2 linked regions of the Oreochromis niloticus genome follow. The protein of the gene in region 1 interacts with the protein of each later gene in a biochemical or structural test. Links are inferred from orthologs where the notes say so. Each region holds a gene or a part of one and is shown on either strand. Other genes may lie near its edges.

Evidence for each region.
Region 2: the proteins of bone morphogenetic protein receptor type-1A (region 1) and bmp4 form a complex in vitro, tested with the Homo sapiens proteins (3 studies listed by BioGRID and IntAct, with this or other methods). The link is inferred for Oreochromis niloticus from reciprocal best matches to the Homo sapiens genes BMPR1A and BMP4.

Annotation. Positions count from the first base shown.
Region 1 is NC_031978.2:119,785-130,845, reverse strand, and holds the start of bone morphogenetic protein receptor type-1A, read right to left. Parts: upstream 4,665-11,061; 5' UTR 4,427-4,664; intron 1-4,426. UniProt on the Homo sapiens protein: On ligand binding, forms a receptor complex consisting of two type II and two type I transmembrane serine/threonine kinases.
Region 2 is NC_031983.2:16,786,845-16,798,044, reverse strand, and holds the start of bmp4 (bone morphogenetic protein 4), read right to left. Parts: upstream 4,689-11,200; 5' UTR 4,401-4,688; intron 588-4,400; 5' UTR 465-587; intron 1-464.

The DNA of each region.
Region 1 (11,061 bases):
CACACTTAGCTAAGAAAATGTAATCTGTGGCTGCACGGGGATACAGGGTTTAGCTGCCCTGCAAGACTCCATTAGCATTAACTGGTGTCTTCCTGTACACTGGTCTGGTCTGGTGCCATTTTATAGGTATAGATCATTTACTTATGGAACACAGGAGAAATCACCGATCCCTCGGAATGTCTTTAGGTTTAAACTGTAAACATGACTCAAAAAATAAAGATTCAGTGGTTTTATGACACAAAGAGGAGGAGGAGGAGGAGGAGGAGGAGGAGGAGAAGATGACTGTCAGTCTTATCTTTTTCAGAACCCCCCCGTTTCTCTTGTTGTGGCCTCGCTCACTCGCCTGCTGTCAGTGTTATTTCGGTTACAGTGATCTAGGCTTGGCTGAGGAATGTACAGCTGCCTGAAACACGGATAATACTAGATTTTAATTTCTAACACCCGCTCTCCGCCCTGCTGTGTGCCTCTGCTCCCTATCAGGGAGGAGGAAGAGGAGGCGGCCTGCAAAGGTAGAGGCTGTGAGAGCAACAACGACGTCAATGCTTTCTGTAGACCTTTTTAAAATACAGTAAAATATAACGCATGATTTAAGTTATTATAACAGAGTATGTGAGGCTGCAGACAGGAAAAAGGAACCTGAAGACGTCATTTGGTGGTTTTAGCCGTTTAGCTGTGGAGGTTTGGATGCATGCACGGACTGTCTGATTTCTGTTTGTTAGCATCTCAAAGCTAACTACTAAACAGACGACAGACGGACATCCAGCTTAGACACCCTTAGACTTTAAACACAACACTCTTTAAAGACTTTGGATGCAATAAACAGAATTGAGACACTGTTAAAGCTTCTAAACATGTTAAAAACCCCTACAAGGCTTCATGCACCCTTACAGATTCTAAAGCCTTTTAAAAATACTCAAACAGGCATTAAACAATATTAAGAGACTCTGTACCATTAACAGAGTTAAAGACGCAGCAAAAGACAAAACAAAGAAGAAGACCCAGAGGGTTGGCATCTACTTTCAGCAACATTTCTGAAGCTTCTTCCTCCTGATTGTCACTGAAGACCTTTTAATGACCCACATGCAGGAGGCAGATAAATGCCAGCAGCCAGGTCTCACAGGGGCAGCCAAACAGGTTTTCCTCCTCTTCTCAGCAGCCATTAAAAGACGCCGCCTAAAGCGATGCGGGTCAAAAATGTTTATCAGAGGCCCATTCGAGGCATCAGCAGTCGGCTTACAGTGAAAATAATATCTGTTATCATCCCTGCATCCATATACAGTAAGCAAACATGCAAACAACCAGGAAATCAGCACTAAACACCCCAAAACTCGTGTATTTTGTAGGTTTAAGCCTGTTTTTAAGTCACTTGGATTAAGAAAGAGCCTGCATCTGTTACTCTGTTTGGGACCTCACTTCTCTGGTTCTCTTAGCTGCTCGAGGTTGTTGTCCAATAATCAAACAAACAGACAGTCTTTAGCATGTACGAGGATCACTTAGATTCTTAAACATGTGGTCCAGAAACATCATGCAGGATTTTACTGCAACCATCCCAACACGCTGCAGTTCTCATGCCACAAACTCTTCAGGCGATTTTTACCGACTCTGTGCCTCTAAATCGTATCGTCGGCACAACACTGGTATAAAACTTTGAGTGATATTAAAGTGTCATGTTGTCATGTTTAAGTTCCCTGGTGTGTGCAACAGCAAGACAAGCCCAGACATGTCTGAGAGCGAGAGCAGCCTGTGATGATGATTTAGTACCTAAAGCAGTAGCTACTTCAACACCCTCCCAAAAGCACACACCATCGAGCAGTGCTGCATGATGCTGCAAATCAGAGGTAAACACAGGGCCAGTGTTGCAGATACCAGTACGCATATCTGTAAAGGCAAGTTAATTATAATTAATATAAGCATATATTAAGGATCCTGTCGTGCTTGGATCAATCCAGTACCTATACCAGCATTGGTATCGATATGATCGATATTTGCATTGCTCTGCACCCCTCTTTCATCGATAACACCCCGCTTCCAACAAAGAAGACACGAGCAGCCGGTGACGTGGGACCCAAATCTGGACAAATGACCATCGAGCGTCGCTAGCTGGATAGAATCACTGATGATGCCGTTACATCGGTGAAAAAGCAGCTCTTCAAAGAGCTCGACCAGCATTTAAGATCCCAGTTAGGAAATGTGACAAAATCGTGCCTGACGAGTTAGTTACCGTTAAACTCGAGTGTTAACGCCTCATCACTGGCTGTAAAGTCGCTGATTTACATTTACAGATGCTGCTGCAGAGCTGCAAGCATCACTGGTAGGATGATCCCAAATGTTCTAGAAATATCGTGACATACCTCATATCGCCCACTCCTGCTGTAAATTAAAATAATGTTTGGCATTTTCATGTCATTCGCCCACACAAGGCGGGCAGTTCGGGCTTCAGGGTTTTCCCTGCACATCTGGACTCGCTCTGCCTCCACAGCCAAAAACGCTTCAACAGTCATTGTTACATTTCAAACTAGCATCTGACACAACGACTCTGAAAACCTCACATCACTTTTCATCTTAAGGGAATTTTACGGACTCTAAAGACCATTTAGATTAAATTATTATTGTTGTGATGTTAAATCTCCTCTTTATTATTTCTGCATTGGTCATCAATGATGAAACATGACAGGGGTGTGTAAACGCTGAACATGACACAGAGGACACAGAGCATTGTTAAAGAGCTCACGCATCGTTTTTACTGAATACAACAAACAGGTCCAGGTAACTGTGCTCACTTTAAGCCGCTTACTTCTCATTCTCCTACAGCGTCGGCCTCATGTTTGAGATTTTCATATAAGCAAACACAGTGAGAGTCTGTGCTGTAAAGAAGGAGGACGTCTACTGAATCACGACACAGATGAATGTGCCTTTAACATGATTGGCTGTTCCAGTAATGGTTTCATATACAGGTGATTAAACTGTATATGCCAGATGTGGTTGGATGTTAGATCCTCCAGTTTAACAGAAACCGTGAGTTAAACCCCCCCCCCCCACACACACACACAGTGCTGGGCAGTGAGAGGTGGATGTGAATGGTAAATGGCCTGTATTTGTATAGCGCTTTACTAGTCCCTAAGGACCCCAAAGCACTTTACACAACCAGTCATCCACCCATTCACACACCCATTCACACACACATTCACACACTGGTGATGGCAAGCTGCATTGCCATCACCAGGTGTGCGGGTGTGTTTAGTTTTTTATTAGACAAAGGTGTGAATGAGATCACATTAAAGGTGCTCAGGAATCAGCTGCCTCTCCGGGAACTCTTTCATCCCGCTGTTGCACACCAGCAGCAGTTTTTTAAGTTAATTTGATATGTCTGATAAACAGATTATTGGAAAGATTACTCCCATGTCCGCGCATTTTAAAAATAGGAAATGGCCTTTGTTTAAATTTAAAGTATTTTAAATTTAAATAAGTACTTTAAGATTTTTTAAGGAGGTACATGAAAATAAAAGTGACTCTTTTATGCTACCTTATAAAACCTCTCACACTGCAAAGACATAAAAGCCGCGATAGTTAATCGATTAGTCGATCAGTGGACTGTATTGATTATGAGCTGCAGACACGTGAACGATTAAAAGCCAGAAACATGGCGGAATAAACAAGAGACAGAAGTGAGATCAAAACCATCTTAAAACACGCCGAAGCAGCCTGGAAACAGAGCTCACAGGTGGCTTTACCTGCCTGCTCAGGTGGGTCAAAAATCAGAGTTTGAAGCAGGTAAACATACAGAAACACGGCTGGTTAGCCCACGATGCTAACCAGGCTAACAACATTAAAGGTCAGCAACGAAAAGCGCCGTTAAAAAACTTTGACAACAAACTTATTTACCTGTTTTTCTTCTTCGTTTCAGCACCTTAAACCCGCTCACAGCTAACTCGCAGCTAGCAGCGCTAACAGGAATGCGGCTATCCGAGCTGGAAACAAATTCTACCGAAACAAACTTCACCAAAACCCCCCGAAAACACCCCTACACCCCAAAATAGTCCGAATCTAGGGTTTAGATAAAGCCCTTGTGAGTTTAAAGCGATAATCTGTCACTTTTTAAATCAAAAACGAGCCAAATTTCTGCTGCAGCAAATCTAAAGCCAACTTTTTTTTTTCCACGACAGCAGTTAGAGAAGGAGGGGATGCGTCTATCTGCTGGCACAGAAATAAAATCTGTACACCGATAAAATTCTCATTTCTTTAACTTACATCCACAGTTAGACACACTAAAATTATTTTATACACACCCACACACAGGCCTACTTAAAGCTGATTCACTGAAAAATAAAAATCCTAAGGGAGTGCGTGTACTCCAGTAAATAGACGGCGCTCAGAAGTCGGGCTCATACCCGCAGTCTGGACTGAAGTTTGGGATCGTTTGACTCACCTTTCTTCCTGAGTCTTTACTCTCTCCTGGATGTTTCGAACCTTTTCTCCCGCGTTATTTCATCCTGTAAGACCGGTTCGAGCTCGCTCCAGCCTCCCTCCCTCCGTTATTAGGGGAGAAATCTATATTTCCAGACGTTTTTCGTCGGCGTCCTCCGCTCCGTGCGTTCCGCTCGCCTCTGCGGGTTTGCGCTGCTTTTAGACAGAAAAGCAAATACCAGGCAGAGATCGTCTCTTGGTCTCGCGATGACTCACTGTGCATAACAAAACACTTCCGGTCGGAACGAGGGGCGTGTGGAAAATTTGCACGCGCTCACTGTTTCACCTCTCAGGTAACTTCAGAGGACCTGAGATTAAATGTGCATCATCGTCTGATTGAGGGTTTGAGGGGCCCAGGTGTGAGGCTTTCGCGTTCTTCTATTTTCACTCCCTAAAAACCCCCAATATTTTTTTCTGTTTTCTTACTTTTTCTTCTTATCTAGCATTATTTGCATCCTGTGTACCTGAATGACCTGCAAGTTAGAACATGTTTGTAGTATGAAGGATTCATTAATAAGCGCAATGTTATGCATGCAATTGAACTGAATTTCCCGGAGGAACCCACCCGATGGATTAATAAAGTTTTATCCAATCGAATCTAATCCAGTCAGTGGCGGTCCTAGCCTGTTTGGCGCCCTGGGTGAACACTCCTTCTGTGCTCTATTTGGAAGCAGCCGCCCCCCTCCCCTTTCGACGGGTTGTGTGAGACTTCAAATCATCAAGTTGTAAACTGTAAATTTTAAATTGTTATTGATCCCTTTACCCCGAGTCCTAAAGTGTATATTTATTTTTTTACTCTTAAATATTTATTGTTCGTTTACTTGCACTGCTGTAACTGGAGCCTCGTCGTCTCGTCTCTCTATATACTGGACTGTATGTAGCGGAGATGCCAATAAAGTTTACTTTGACTTCAGCACCGAGCAGGCGCACCGAGGGCTCTCGCGCTCACTTTTCGCGTATAGAATTTCAAAAAAACATTGGTGCAAATTATAAGTCTGCATCATGATGTCCGGTGTTTTCGTGTTTGTTGGTTTGTTTTTATTTTGTTTTATTTTGCGAGTTGGTTATTAGATGCTGCTCCAGCCAGCCAGAGACTCCCCCGCCGCCCCGCCCTCTCCTCCCTGTGCCGCAAGCAGCAGGCGCACCTCGCAAACGAGGGCGCCCTTGCTCCCAGCAAATGGGCGATAGAAAACCGATCAGTGCCTATGCCATCCCCAGTATGCGCTGGCATGACGTCGGGGCAGCATGAGTACGAGCATTTTTTAAAAAAAAAAAATTTTTTGCCGATGCCCGTGATGCCGCCCCCACCACGATGCCACCCCGGGCAACCGCCCGTGTCGCCCATATCAAAAACCGCTACTGAATCCAGTACTAGGAAGTGTATTATCACCCTCTCTGTACACTGTTTTTGTATATAGTAAATACTATGATTGCTCTATTCCTTGCTTTAATTCTATTTTCCTTTTTTTAGTTGCTTTGTCTGTATCTTGTAAAAAGTGTAACTTGACCTGGAGGGCTCTGTGCAATAATTCCAGCATGCATGGACCGTTGGTCCTGTGCGCAAATTGCAAATAAAAACCTTCAGTCTTGAAATACAGTTACCTGGTCCTGAGGGCTCAGCTGGGAGCGTTTTCCCTTAATTTACTGATTGTATATGGAACGAAACATTCAGGTTCAAAAGTATTATGGACAAATAAATGAGAGCCTCCGGGCAACAGCTGTTGTGATTTGGCTTATCTTAATGAACTATGACATAAATCATCACGCGGCAGCTCGTTATGACTACAAATAACTCTTTTCTTTTGGTATTTTTGGAAGCAAAGGAAACACCATCCATCCATTCGCTTCCGCTTATCCTTTTCAGGGTCGCGGGGGGCGCTGGAGCCTATCCCAGCTGTCATAGGGCGAGAGGCGGGGTACACCCTGGACAGGTCGCCAGTCTGTCGCAGGGCCAACACACAAGGACAGACAACCATTCACACTCACATTCACTCACACATTCACACCTAGTGACAATTTGGATTATCCAATTAACCTATCCCCACAAGCTGCATGTCTTTGGACGGTGGGAGGAAGCCGGAGTACCCGGAGGGAACCCACGCAAACACAGGGAGAACATGCAAACTCCACACAGAAAGACCCCGGCCTGATGGTGGAATTGAACTCAGGACCTTCTTGCTGTGCGGCAACAGTGCTAACCACCGTGCCACCATGCTGCCACCAAACACATGTTGTAAAATCTCATTTTAATTGTTCCAGTCTCAATGATTCAGCAAAATAAAAAATAAAGAAAGTATAAATGCTGAGCTTCAACATTGCAAATAATAATAATAATATACTTATATGAGGTATATGTTATACTGATTCAAATGCTAATTTAGAACAATAAATAAAATGTTATTAATTCAAAACATGGTATTTGATGATATAAATATATATTTGGGCTTCCTGTTGGTTCTAAAAGCTGAGCCACATATTTTCTTTTTCTATCTTTACAAAAACACATAAATACACGATCCTCCGAGTCAGCATCATATCTGAGGTTTTTTATACATCTGGAAAGTTGATTTAAAAATAATTTATAAACTTACTTTATATTTTTAGCCACTGGCATTCTGAGGCTTAAACAAAAATAACTGCCTAGAAAGTCAGTGATGTAGTCTAAGAGCTGTTTTTGGCGGCAGAGTGAGACCTCTTCCCCTTTTCACTCCTCTCTGAGTCCAATCTCTGCTGCTCAAAAACCCGCAGGCTTTTATTTTGAAACGCAATCAGGAGAGGGCACTAGCTCCCTCTGGTGGCTCCAAACTGAACAGCATTATCATCGCTCAACAAGAACGACGCTCGTTATCATGATGACGATGATCTGATGATGAGGATGAAGATGGTGATGATGACGATGATGTGTGGGTGTGACAGTCATGTTTTTCGGTTGGAGTTACAGAAAACTGATGACAGATAAAAATGAAAGAGGAAGTTCATAAAGGTCAAACACGAATACTCCTCTTCTCAGTACAATGACTCATTTTCTCATTTTTTATTTCGTTTTTGGTTCAAATATTCTTAAAGCTGCAGATATGAAAAATAGAGATTTTTAGGGGATAAAAATCAGATATTAAATAAGGAACCACATTTTTATTTTGTTCCTCTGAATATTTGCTGCCTCCAAACCATCAACGTGTCTTTTAGACCCCATTCCTACAAAACTGCTCAAAGAAGTCCTGCCATTAATTAATTCTTCGATCTTAAATATGATCAACCTATCTCTAATAATCGGCTATGTACCACAGGCCTTCAAGCTGGCTGTAGTTAAACCTTTACTCAAAAAGCATCTCTAGACCCAGCTGTCTTAGCTAATTATAGGCCAATCTCCAACCTTCCTTTCATATCAAACATCCTTGAAAGAGTAGTTGTCAAACAGCTAACAGATCATCTGCAGAGGAATGGCTTATTTGAAGCGTTTCAGTCAGGTTTCAGAGCTCATCACAGCACAGAAACAGCTTTAGTGAAGGTTACAAATGATCTTCTTATGGCCTCTGACAGTGGACTCATCTCTGTGCTTGTCCTGCTAGACCTCAGTGCAGCGTTCGATACTGTTGACCATAATATCCTATTAGAGCGATTAGAACATGCTGTAGGTATTACAGGTACTGCACTGCAGTGGTTTGTATCATATCTATCTAATAGACTCCAATTTGTGCATGTAAATGGAGAGTCTTCTTCACATTTCAAGTTCACATTCCATTTGCGCAACATCTCTAAAATTAGAAATATCCTGTCCCAGAGTGACACTGAAAAACTAGTTCATGCATTTATTACTTCCAGGCTGGACTACTGCAATTCATTATTATCGGGAAGTCCCAAAAACTCCCTTAAAAGCCTTCAGTTAACCCAAAATGCAAGCCCTCATAGTAAGTACCATCTCACCCTATTAGAGCACTTCGCTCTCACACTGCAGGCTTACTTGTTGTTCCTAGAGAACAGAGATTGACAGACCACATGACTTTCGCGCATTGCATTCTGGGTACCCGTGGCAACAAAATCAAAACACTGCATCAAGCGCTAGCATTTCCAGCACCAGTAATCATTAATTCTGCAGTTTTAATCCCTACTTGCATTTTATTTGCCCCAAAAACAGTTATGTACAAAACGACGGAGAACACGGCAGGTCCGTACAAAGACAGAGTTGACGAAAAGGCAAAAAAAAAAAAAAAAAAAAAAGTACGAGGAAAAAATCAAAGGAGTGAAAGGGTCAGACCCGTACGAGCGTACAGAGCGGAGTAAGGACGTTAGCGTGCTGCCCAACTTCCATCACGCACATATTTATTACTATATGGTCCTAAGTGTGAGTGCAGACACTCACAAGCTGTTTATTAACTTCAGATCCCTGCAACAAGCCCAGGTCCAGTTTACTTTGGTGATTTGGACTATTCCATTTCACAGCTGTTGTTACATTCTTTTCCTTTATCTCCTGTACAGGCAAACGCATCTATTTGTCGTTTCACAACATTTTCAGATCTAATAGAAATAACATGAGTGTTTCGTAATTCATTCAATTTATTGTCTTTATTTATAACTGGCATTCTCCAAAAGTTGAATCTGTTCATCTGGACGTAGCGTTTTGTGGGAGAAACGTTTCGTCTGAGACTGAAGAAGTCACTTGGATGAGTGACCAAACGTTTCTCCCACAAAACGCTACGTCCAGATGAACAGATTCAACTTTTGGAGATTTACTTTCCTGGATGATTGAGAATGCATCAAGACGATATAACTGGCATTATTGTTTCATTCTATTATAGAATCTTACAAGAAAGAAGCAAAATTGTATTCGATTATGCTTTATTAGCTGCTTCGGTGAAAAACAACAATGCAAAACAACATACTGGAAAACAGTTATTCATCACTTGATTGCTTCAATACAACCCTTGGGCACATATATGCGGGACGTTTCGTGGCTGTTTTGATGTCGCTCTCTCTCTTAACCGATCAAATCTGGCTGTGGTAGCAGCTTTAAACTCTGTCTGACCCAGGCTGATAGAGGCGCCCAGTCTGCATCGCATTCCAGCATTTTGTAGGCTGGTTTTCCTACAAAACACAACAAACATTAGCCCGCAAAGCCACAGTGAACAAAGCAGCATAGCGCAACGAATTCAATTCAAATCAATATAAGACTTATTTGTAACCTACATCAACAATTATGTTATGATAAATTACGTAATAACTACAACAGAAGACGTACCTTTGTGGAAATGCTTGGAGCAGACTAACATGTGAGCTGGAGTGTTCTGGGACGTTATATTTGGTCTTCGAATGGCTGCAATCCAGGCCATCCGTCGGCTCTTTGTTACTTCGGAAACATGGCTTGAACAATTTTTCTTCCACGACGTAATCCGATAAAAACGATTTCTTTACCCGTCGGCTTCCCGTGGCTGTCATGCGACCGGCTATTGCATTTAATAATACAACAGCTTCTTGCCATTTTGTGTTTGTTTTTATCGCTGTGTGACTGTTTTCATGTGAAAGCCTGCGTGCGCTAGTATGGCTTGCCACTCGTTCCCACAATCCTTTGCGGTTTTACCCCTGAATGACGTCACATTTTCAATCTCTATTTCAAAGTAGAATGGGAGGCAGAGCCTTCAGTTTTCAGGCCCCTCTTCTGTGGAACCAGCTTCCAGTTTGGATTCGGGAGACAGACACTATCTCTACTTTCAAGATTAGGCTTCAAACTTTCCTTTTTGCTAAAGCATATAGTTAGGGATGCACCGATCCCGATACTGGTATCGGGTATCGGGGCCGATACTGTAAAATGTGTGCGTACTCGTACTCGTAAAAGTTAACCGATACCATGAACCGATACTTATGTAGCCCGGATGGGAATTTGGGAGTAGATAATCATAATTCCCATGGACTTGAACGCCACATAAGGTGTTCACAGTTCACAGAAGAGAACGGCATGGAGAGATGCACGAGGTTAGCTGAACCAAAGTGAGAGACTCGGCTAGTTTTACTGAGGTTAACTTGCACAAAAGAGTGTGTGACTAGAAAGCTAACCGTGTGAGAGCTTCGCAACAGAGTGTGGGTGAAGTGACTTTTTGTTTCAACGGTCGCACCACCGTCCGTGGAAAACTGTGTTTCCAGCTACGACCGCCGAGGCTAAAGGCTAGCCCGGACTGCTTGGCTGCGCCACGGAGGCAGCTGCTGTGGACTGTCGGAGAGCTGGACAGTGACTGGCTAACGCGCTGTAGCAGAGACAGCATCGGGTCCGCAGGGAGTGGATTTAGTGTGGGACTGGTGAACGGCGACCTACCGAGCAACGGAACTGTAAGTCAGACTTTTGTGCTCTTACTGGGGAGAAGAGGATTTTTCTCCATCGTCCGGCGTGAGCAGCAAACAGGCCTGCAACAAGTGTGAATGTGAGTGTGTGTGGGGCCCATGTGTGAATATTGTGTGTTTAGTGGATTTATATAACGTGTTTTGGAGTGTATATTAGTGAGTCACTTACCAAAAGGTGATAACATAAGTTGGGTTGTTTAATATAATTTGAAAGGGAATTATTTCATTTATACAGTGTATTTCATTTGGTTAAGGAATTGGAATATC
Region 2 (11,200 bases), on another chromosome or scaffold:
CCCACTAAAGGCAGACTAATTAGTTTCAATAGTCCAGTCTGCCTTGTTTACAGTAAAGTAGTCTCCGATCAGATAGACCATTTAGAGTTTATCTCTATCCTCCAAAGGTAAACAGCTAGCTCAAGAACCCATCTTTTTTTTTTTTTTGAATGGAATCTCAGGGCCATTCCTCCCCACTATCTCCCTTCCTCCTTGTCTCCTCCACTATAATTAGACAAATAAAAGAGGCTGCCCTGGGGTCTAAGCAAATTCTTAACTTGATAAGAAGTCTCGGTCTTACACATTCTGCTCAAACAAACCATGGCTCAAACCTGGGACTTTGTGCCACACACTTATAAGAAAAAGCTCTTCCTCTGGATAGATGCCACATAAACGAGTGAGTCAGCGGACAGAGAGAAGGGAGATGCAAGATGTAGCGGCGTGTCACATGCCGCAAATTGAAATGGCATGGCCCACTTACTTACCGACAGAAAATAAAGCATGGGGAAACAGTCCATGTTTGTTGGGAGCAGGCAATGGACCCGTTCTTCTAGGAAATGTCAGGTGGCGTTGGGCGGCTGCAGGAGAACTTTGAAGTGACCCTGTTCCTGAAAGATGAAGGCAAAAAACACAGGGATATTGTGAACTGACACTTGCAAACACTTGAGGTTGTTACATAGCATTTCTTCAAAGAGTAGCACAGGAGCTTGTGTGTCTATCTGTGTCAGCTTGTGTATGTGTGTGTTTATGGGTAAGAGAGAGACCCAGTGTCTCTTTAAGGCTTATCATTTTGGCTAGTGGGTAAGCTAGCTATTTGCTGTAAGTGGAATGTAAGTAGGCATGTGCTACAACACAGACAGCAGATACCTAACGCTTGACACCCACCTTGGTAAGAAAATACAACTTAATCAACACTTACATCTATTTCAGAGACACCCATTTGAAAAGCAGCTTCCTACTTTACATTAATGACAAGCTCAAAATCTGATTAGCGCCAGGTTCAACAGAAAAACGTCAGAACCCACAGAGCACAAAACAAGTCTGATCACAATTAGTAAACTCTTTATTCAAGATAAGAGGGCTGTTGGTTTACTAAAACTGAAAATCTACTCAGCCTTTACCCCTCCAAGCAACTGAGATGACCTATTTTAGACAAGGAACTAAACAGATTCTTCTTAGAAGAGCTTCTCTTCCATTTTAGAGCTCACATGGGTTGTGACGCTGATGGCAGGCCTTCTCTACTTTGACAACACTGTACATACAGTAGTACATTCACCACTGATGTATGCATGATATACTGAGCAGAATGTGCTTCCAGAACCCTAATTTTAAAAAAAAAACAAAAAAACACTTCTACACACAAAAAAGAACCACTTTCCAAAAAGGAAAAGTCAGAGCTTTAACAGGCAGGTTTAACAAGAACAATATGGATCAAATGATTCAGTTTGTACACCTCATTTGAAGTGTTAAATGCTGCTGAATCGCACTAACAAGGTTACTGAATTTTAAGTGACCACAACAACAGCATCATGGAACAAACACTCCAAAGTGACACAAGGCTTCGGTCATCATTTGGATCTTGTTCCACTGGAGCACAACCAAGAATTACTACACAGTGAGGATGCATATTAGCACACACTCTATCTGCATGTGTGTGTGTGTCACATACAGTTTGTGTTTTTCAGCTTGCTAGCATGCCTGGCTTCATATCTATGTGATTAACTTGCCTCCTTCATGCCTCACTATACATGCAATCTAGGATCTATTTCCCTAACGGTATTAGACTTTGACCTCCGATTGACCCTCCTTTTCTCGGTCATGACACTAGATCCACTGTGCAAGAAGAGAGGGTGACATGCAGTGTGCGCGCGCACGACTGCAAAACGGAGCGCATGCATTGACGTGCGTGTCCGCATAAGTGTGTGCCACCATTTGCATGTTCGTGAGAACTGCAGCAAAAAGAGTGAGGAGGATTCAGAACATGATCAGCTCTATTACCCATGGGGTGAGGGGATAAATGTGTGTGTGTGAGTGTGTGTGTGAGAGAGTCTGTGTGTGTACATCTCTGACAACAAACGTTCATTGTACAGAGAGGGCCTCTCCCATGATTACAGGGATTCATAGCACTCAAAAACACTGACCATACAGAACATCTTGTAACTGTAACCAGCCACTGACAAAGCTGCAGGCTAAAACAGACAGACACTCAAAATGGTGTGATGATGATGAAAGAAGATGTAAGGCAGACAGGGAGTAACTCTCAGCTCTGTGTCTCTCAAGCCAGTGTGCTCGTGTTTACTGGCCTGTTTTCACCAAGAGTGATAAGAAATAATTTTACACCAAATTCTTAAAAAACAACAACAACAACAACAGCAACAAAATCGCCCCCCACACCTCTGCACGCATCAAAAACGTGCAGTCATTTATTGCCCTCTCAGTCAAACCAATGAAAACAACATGAGATTATAAAACAAAGCTGGACACACAGAAAAGCTTTCCACTAAGTGACAGAAATACATTTTGCAGCAACGGTTGCAGACCAGGGTGCAATTAGGCTGCAGCAGTCAAACTGCCCTTGGCTTTGCTTGATCCCCCTTGGCCTCTCTCGTTCTCTCTCTCTCTCTCTCTCTGTCTCTCTCTGACCAGAGATAATGTGATCAGACTATGCACATGGCTCTTCAGATGTGTTTCCTGAGGAATTTGACAGTGATGGTGGGAGGGAGGATGGGAATGAGGGAGGGAGAGAGGGAGGAGAGCAACAGGTCACTGTGGAACAAATCTGAGGCCTGATTTTATCATTTTAGTCACGGGGATTATACTTATTGATCAGCAGCAATGTCTATGCTTGGTTCTGGTTACTGCCTGTATAATTAGAAGACATTTATGTCTTTGAATGGTAGTCCCCAAATAATGCCCTGCTCTTGCAATGAGCAATAGGTAAAGAAACACACACACACACACACACACACACACACACACACACACACACACACACAAAACCCCAAATGTCAAACACTTTCTTTTTTTTCCTGTCTTTTTTTTTTTTTGCTTTATAGTAACCAAATTAACAAAGCTAAATAATAAAATTTAACCAGTCAGCCTAACAAAATTCATTATTTTATGTGCAGGTTTGGATATTTTTTTAATTTCTCAAGCTCGAAGTTACAACATACAACGATGTATCTCTGGCATTATAAACGAAAGGCAAAACGTCTGAGGGAAAAGATGAGGTGTGTGGGATTTTTTAATGTATCCTGTCGGTTTTTTTTCTTTTATTAAAAGATAAAGGGGGAAATGTCAATGGCACGTGTTTTCTTTCAAATAAAAAAAAAATATTGTGTTGTTAATTGTGCGTTAATAACGGAAAACCCAGAACAATCAGACGGAGGCTGACAAGGAAAACGACCGAAAAAAATTAAAGCCATCACCAGAAGTGACATGTGACTTCTTTAATATACTTCTTTAAAATATATATGTGTGTGTGTGTGTGTGTGTGTGTGTGTCTGCTCCTTTGCAGTTCACGAGATGAATTTGAGTTGCAAACTAAACTGAGTACCAAGGAGACCGGGCGTCCGCAGGCCGCAATTTTCCCTGCTGCAGTTTTACCGGATTAAATGACAGGACTTATCTTTACAACGACTTGTTACAAACAGGTGAAAAACACGTGAGTGGACTACAAACCGGACTCACATCTGCAAGACTCTGCAGCTGTAATGTATTAGTATTTCATGTTTTTGCAAGCATTATGTCATTACTGGACGCCAGCTCAGTCAACTGGCGCAATTACGCGTCAATTATTGTTCAAAACTCGTGCGGTAAAATGAAATGAACTTCATCTTTTGCGAGAACCCCCCCCCCAACTTATTTTCATTATCGCTCATCTCTGATCTGTCAACCTCCATCGTTCGTGCAAGCCTTCATACTTGGATGACAAGAAGCAGTTACAGGTGTTTAATCAGTGTTAAACTGAATTATAAAATGCATACACGTGCGCAACGCTGGCGATTTCAGTGAAAGACATAAAAAAACAAAACAGCAAAATCTGACGCTGTGTTTGGACATGACCTCATCTTGATTTGTCATCGGCTCAAGTCTCGGGCACAATAGGCTTTAACCTGTTACTTGTTTGGCCATTATCACAGCGCCATTCGTTCCAAAATGCACTTTTATATCGGTTTTTGAATGAGTTCCGCACGCTGTGAGGTGTTTTTTATGCCCGTTTATTCTCGCACATTTATCCCGGAACGGTGTTAAAACTCAGCGGAGTCGCTTAAATGCGCACAAAGGAGAGACCCAAACTTAAAGTAACAACACTTCAGCGAGAGCCTCTCTTGCTCAAAGATGTGTGTGTGTCTGTGTTGTTGTTTTTTTTAAAGTTTCGCTGTTGACTCTTTGATGTGTGTCGTTTGGTGAGCGCTTACCATCAGTAGAGGTACAGGTATCCTCGAATGAAGTGAATATGAAAGGGGAGGTGTAAGGCAGTCCAGGCGTAACGCCGAAAAAATGCCGAAATGAGCCTTAAAGGAGAAATTATGCGCCTTTTTGGCTCATTAATCCTTTAGCGACACCTCAGAACGGACAAGAGTTGTGAAGGCCGGCGCTCGGGCTCTGCAGCGGGGCTTCTTATTCGTCTCCAGTGCAGCTCACTAGGGCGATCGGCGCGCAGGACGGCTTTCAAATGATCCAGCATCTATGGCCCCTTGCAGTTTTTATGTGTCCGCCCAATTTACCCTCTCTGCCTCCTCCTTCCTCCACGACCCCCACCTCCCTCATCTGTCTCAAACACCTTGGATAACCCCCCCCCTTTTCTCCTCCTCCTCCTCCACTTTAAATAAAGACAACTCACTGCGCTTTTTTTCCCCTTTTCACTATGTGAAACTTTGCATTTTGACTTTAAATAACGCCCAGCGGGTCAAACGCCCGGTAAGTCTCCATATGCAACATGTTAGTGACCTTACCTAAAAAAAATAAATAAATAAACGCCTTGCGTACCTGCAGATGTAAACAACTGGTCTACCGAAGTAAACTTTAAAAATGCTATGCATATTTAATTACTAAAAAATATATATTCGTGGCCACGTGCGTACATTTTTATTGGTCAAAGTTTTTTTTCTATAATCCTTCATCAAAATGTATGAAATGTATTCAAAGTGATTGGCTTCCCCGATATAAGTGATGTGTCCCCACTAATGTACAACTTTACAAAATAGTTTTTCTGTCTCTTGCACTTCTTATTGTTATCGTCATCTGAAATTATTCCACGATCGCATGCCGTGGATCCATGTTTCGATAGTGCTTTTGATGAGGGGTTCCACCGAACTTTAAACTTAGTAGAGGGTTCATTTAACATATAGACATTTTATATGACTGGTATCACCGTGTTATGTACTTGTGTAACATACAGGTTAAAGCGGGCCGTTTCAATCTGCCTAACCCCACAGTGGGCCATCTGTGCCATGATTTTAAAATGACTGTCATTTTAGAACTACGGATGTGGAACGGTGATAAAGAAAACGATATTAATAAAGCAGATAATCACAATTATTACCACGTACTAAAAAAGATGTAAATTCAGCCATCATGTTCTTTTCAATCGTGCTTTTCAAAAGTATGACTGAAATTATTCCTTGAATGATTCCGTTTGGCGAGAACCGCTGCTTAAAAAGATAAAAATCCGTTTCCCCGTGTTATGACTAAAACGTTTCTGCTCCTGTATATGTTTAAAAAGCATTTAAAATGTGCCAGAAACATTACAGATTTGTTTTAGTTTGTTTGCAGTCTTAATAAATATTATTTCCACTTGTTCTTTCCCAGATTTTAGTCTTCCCGCATTATGCACTGTATACATGTGCATTTTGTCTTTTTGATAAGACCTTGCTCATTTATTTGTGGTCAGACTTAGAGCTTTTTTTCCTTTCCTGTCTTTTTTTCTTTTTCTTTTTTTGAGGATCCATATTTAATCAATTTTAACTGAAGATTTGACAGCTTGAATAATCACACCAGTGCCCAAAGAGTCTTATTTAATATTACAGGCTTGTAGGGTTGGCAAGAGTTAGAATGCATAGATGAGTGTCAGGTCGTGCAGTTTCAGTTTTACTACAGTACTACAGTTACTGTATTATTCTTTGTATAATGTAACTTAAACTTCCTGTTGTCAAAAAAACAACAACAACAAAAAAATGATGCACCTGCATTCATTTGGTTGTGGTTCCCCACTGAGTTGCAGTATTGTTAAAATTCCATCTGATGTACTGTGTATTGGTGCAGGATGAGTTTTAGACTGTAAATTGCTTTGTAAAGCTGTGCATGGTAGAATCAAGCAGGGGTTGTTGTATTGTTTTACAAAAAAATCCACGGCGGTCACTCTGGATATTTAGGAGTGCTATTCTGCCTCCTTATTTTTGATTTCTTTGATTTCTAAGGTGCACGGAGAGCATCCAGTCTTCTATCAATAAGTACTACTACAGCATAGAAATCAGAATTATGTGAGCAAGCTTGTGTGCAGTAAGTGGTGCTAGGCTAAAGCAGACTTTATAGCTCGATGGCTTTCACAATAATCCAGTTTTCTGATTGTTACTTGCTAATATCTCCACTTCCTGTCTTGCATCATGATTGACAGCATGTCAGAATAATACACACTAGTAATTCCCTCTCTCATGATAGACTGAGTAAATACTGGATGGTACATTATATCACATCTTGAGTTAAAAGTTGCATTGTGGAATAATATGAGTCAGTGCTGATACAATGTCTGTAATACAATACAAACATCTTTTCCATATTGTTATAGCTTTGAATTCTTTACTTTTTTGATTAGTTTTTAAACTAATAATCTTATAGATTGCCCTTTTAGAGACGTTTTTGCTGTTAAACTGGTTCCTCTCAAGTCCTTAAACCCTCTTCATTATGTTGATTGCCATTCAGAGATTCAGTCCTATTTGACTTTAGGTTTTATGATTAATTAAAGCAAAAAAAAAAAAAAAAAAAAAAAAGACAAACCAACAAAAAGAGTCTGTTTCCTCTTCGACAGTTTATTTAATGTGCGGGTGGAAATTCCAACATAATAATCCTCTCGGTGTTTTTAGGTGAATTAACAATGGACAGGATGTTTCTGTGAGGTCACAAAGATACAAAGATGTATAAGACTGCATCAGGGTGATGTACGTAACCTGTGGTTGTCTCATCCATCAAAACAAGATTACACCAGCATGACTTTGTATTGCAAGTTTTAAACTGAAGATAAGCTTCAAACTAGTGAAGTAAACACAAACAAGCAGAAAAAAAATAAAAACAAAACCCTGAATTATGGCGCAATTTATTTTGGACAGATAAGATAAAACTCAATCCATCCTGTACCAGTGAAAAAAGAAAAGTTAAACAGTTCAAGCACACGTCACCTGTCAGATATGATAGATGTAAAGTATGTGATTTGCCTGCATGAGAGTGGATTTCATTTTTTTAGATGATTAAAAAACAGTTGTCTCAGTAAAGCTCTAAGATCTTTATTATCATTATTACGTGGAATATTTTTTACTCATACTCATCGTATGGTTATGAACACACATATATTCACACTTTAAAAATATTCTACTATATTCTTAGTAAAAGTTGTGATCCTTTTAGATTAAAGGTGGGATTTTTTAAAATCCGAAATACACCACAAGTCACCCTAAAGTGGACTGAAAGGTTAACTTTCAAAACTGTCTTGAGTGCAAGTAATGTGGTGGATTCCCATTCCAAGCTGTTGACTGGGTTTAGCCTCTTTGAGCTCCTCAGTTACGAAGGAGATTATCAAATGCGGGCGGCTTAGAACCACAGGTAGTCAGTGAGGAGCTTTCCCACTGCTTGCAACATGAACCTCTGAGTCCAAAGTTTTCTATAGATGGCAAAAAATTCCCGAAATGTCTAATTCAGGCATGTAAAAACATCAGAATTCTGGTAGCGCAAACATCTATTGAGGAAGGTAGAAGTTGCATGGAAAGTTCATCCTGTTTTTCTTTTCTTTGACTAAACTGAGCAGGTCAAAGAGCTCACTTATCTTCTGACATTTGCCTGCAGCTATTTGCGGGGAAAGGTCAGCAGCTTTGCTGTTTTAACGTAAGCTGGGAGAGTGGAGTGATTTCACCTACCTGTGTCACTAAATCCTGCTCGGAGCTGCTCACCTGTGAACACCAGCCCTTAATCAGCAGCAACTCAAAGGTGACCCGAGCACCTAGACCTCCAGCCTGATGTCATAACACACCTTAATTTTCTCTTTTTTTCTACCTCAGAGGCTCTGCAAAGTGCTCACTAGTGCAGACACGCGCCACAGCCATTGATCAAACCTCAGCTTTCACTGCTAATGCTTGGATTTCTCACTGGAACATTCTTCAGCACAGCTGCCTCGTGTTTCTTTGGGTTCTCGGGCTGAGGGTTGCTTGTCCTGTAATCCCCTAACCCAGCCTTGAGACCTAAAAGTCTGTAAGTGGTGTGGGGGGTTCAGGGAGGGAGACAGACAAGGGAAGCAAAGTCTGAGGATAGATTGGACAAACTATTTTAATCCCTGTAATGGAATTGGCATGTAAACTCATGAACCTAGAAGTAAACAAAAAGAAAATGGAGAAGGATGGATGTTGAACTGGTCTGAGCCTCTCTGGGATAACTGTGTTGAAACTCTTCTTTCCCCCACCAAACTGCTTCCAGTCTCTTTCACGAGAACAAAGGTGGCCCAGCATCTTTTCCAGCCCACCCCGTTCAACAGATGTCATGCTTAAATAAACCCTATAACTCCCCTTTTACAAAGAATGTTTAAGCAAAAAGTTGCCGACCTACTTGGGGTTTTGTTCTTCTGTAGTCAAAGAAACACACAAAAACTTTAGCAAAGACAGTATCAGTGGCCTTTTGAGTTCACAATAAAAAGAAGCCATGCCAAGTCACCATCTTATTGGCACTCTTGCTGGAAAATATCATCAGGCCCGTTACAAAGAGAGATCATCAGTGACACTCGGGCATGTGAGATTGAGGCTCTGTGTGTCAAATGATGTGGAGCTGTGAGTGAGCGGACTTTAATGTCTGTCCATCTCATGCTGTCACTGGTGCAATCCTGGCCCTGCCAGATGTTATCAAAGAGACCTGGTCAAGTGAGCTGCAGAGGGGGGCTTTTTGAGCCTTTCCCTCTCTCTGTCAGGGTGCAGGAAGACACACTTGGGCTTCAACACTGTCCAGACACAGCCTGAGTGCAGCAACGCCTGATGCCGGGACTCTGGGGGGTTACGCTGGGAAACTTTCTCAATGGATTAAAAAGCTTTTTTATCACCATTTGGATTGGCACTTGAAGATACTCCTTTAATCTGAGAGGGGGAATTGACTTTGGCCACACCACAGACCCTAAGAGGCCAAGCTAAGAGGTAGCAGAATAAATTCTCCAGTGGTGAGAACTTCACAAGTGTTATGCTCTGGAGCTCGAGAGAAAAATAGATTAGACTTGAATAGATGGAAATCAACCAGGAATAGAACATAATTAAATAACATGCATGCAGAAGGCTGATACAGTGCCCTGAGAGATCCTGTGACCAGTGTTTCAAAATTGAATATCTAGGATTCTTTTTGGATAAGAACGACTGTGTAATATTCTCCAAATCAAGTTATGAGGTCACCGCACAAAGTTGCCATTCAGCAAGAAAACTGCTGCCATATTTTACTTTCTCAAGCCATAATAAAAAGAAAGGCAGATCTTTCCAAAACTTTACTAATCCATTTTTCAGAAAGTTACATACCACCTTCAGTGACCCCGACTGAAAGCAGAAAGCTGTATCGAAATGAGTGACACAAATCAGACTGCCTATCTACTCTTTAATTCTATCAGTGACAAAGAGCCTAACCTCATAAATCATAAATGGGCCACAGAAGAGCCGCAGCTCCCCCAAATGAACCAACACAAAATTCAAAACTTACCAGAAGTGAAGTGCATTCAAAGCTTCTGCTCCAATTCCAAATGTTTCCACTTTGTTACCTTTTCGCTCCAAAAACACACGAGTGTTAACAGTATCTTTTCGACACTTGACATTTAATGTAGCGCGTAAATCACTCCGGCGACCTGTTATGCTTTTAAGAATGTAATTACATACTTTCAAATAAAACTTAAAAGGATCTGACAAGTTTTAAAATGCAGTGTGTGCTCTCAAGACGGAGGGAAGGAATTCCAAGCAGTTGGGATATGCTAACATCCCTGTGTGGGCGAAGAAGACATGATAGTGTTGAAATGAAAGAAGAAAAAAAATGAAAGAAATATAAAATTAAAGGTAATCAATGCTGCATTCACCAATGTTATCATGAATCTGGGTTCTATTTTTTATCATAGATGTCAAATACTACTATTTAGGGTTTACTATAGTTGTGAAGTAGTGAAGATCACAGTGGTAGGAGATACTCTCAGACATCAATCCCACCACCTCATTTAATTAATTATAATGTAGGAATGACACAGTAATGTGCAAAAGTCTTAAGTTATAGTCATTTCTTTATCTTTTAATAGGCAAATGGTTAATAGAAATTTATTGAAACATGTGTAAACATAACACGCTTGTAATTATTTCTAACAATTGGCGTGGCCACCTTTACTCATCAGGCCGAGACATGTCAAAGCTTCCCTTTGTTGGTTGCCTTTTCTTCCATTCTCTGTCAAGATGCTCTCATATTGCTTTAATAATGTTGAGGTCCGAGCTCTGGAGAGGCCAATCCATGACTGATAGTGTTTCGTTGTGTGTTTTTCCACCAAGCTATGCTTTTACTGCATTGGCAGTGTATTTGAGATCACTGTCATGCTGAAAAAAGAAGCATTTCAGATGATTTTGCACGGTGGATGAAAATCTGGCCATAATTTTCTGTGTTCACAATTCCATCAGTCTTGATAAGATCTCCATTATCGCTGGCTGAAATGAAGCCCTGAACCATGACAGAGCCTTCACCATGTTTTACAGATGGCTGTAGACATTCACTGTGCTTATTGATGATTGACAACGTTGTGATGATGTGATGTGACAATAAAAGTGATTTGATTTTAATTATTTGAACCAAAATTTCACATTTGGATTCATCTCTCCATGAGAACTGGTACTACTGATTTGTGTAATTTCTCACACCCCAGCTTTTCCTGTCTGTTTGTCTTTGTCTTGTCTTCTTGAGGATAACTTCTTGACAGGCACTGAGACCGTTTTGTATGAGGCTTTTTCAAACAGTAGAT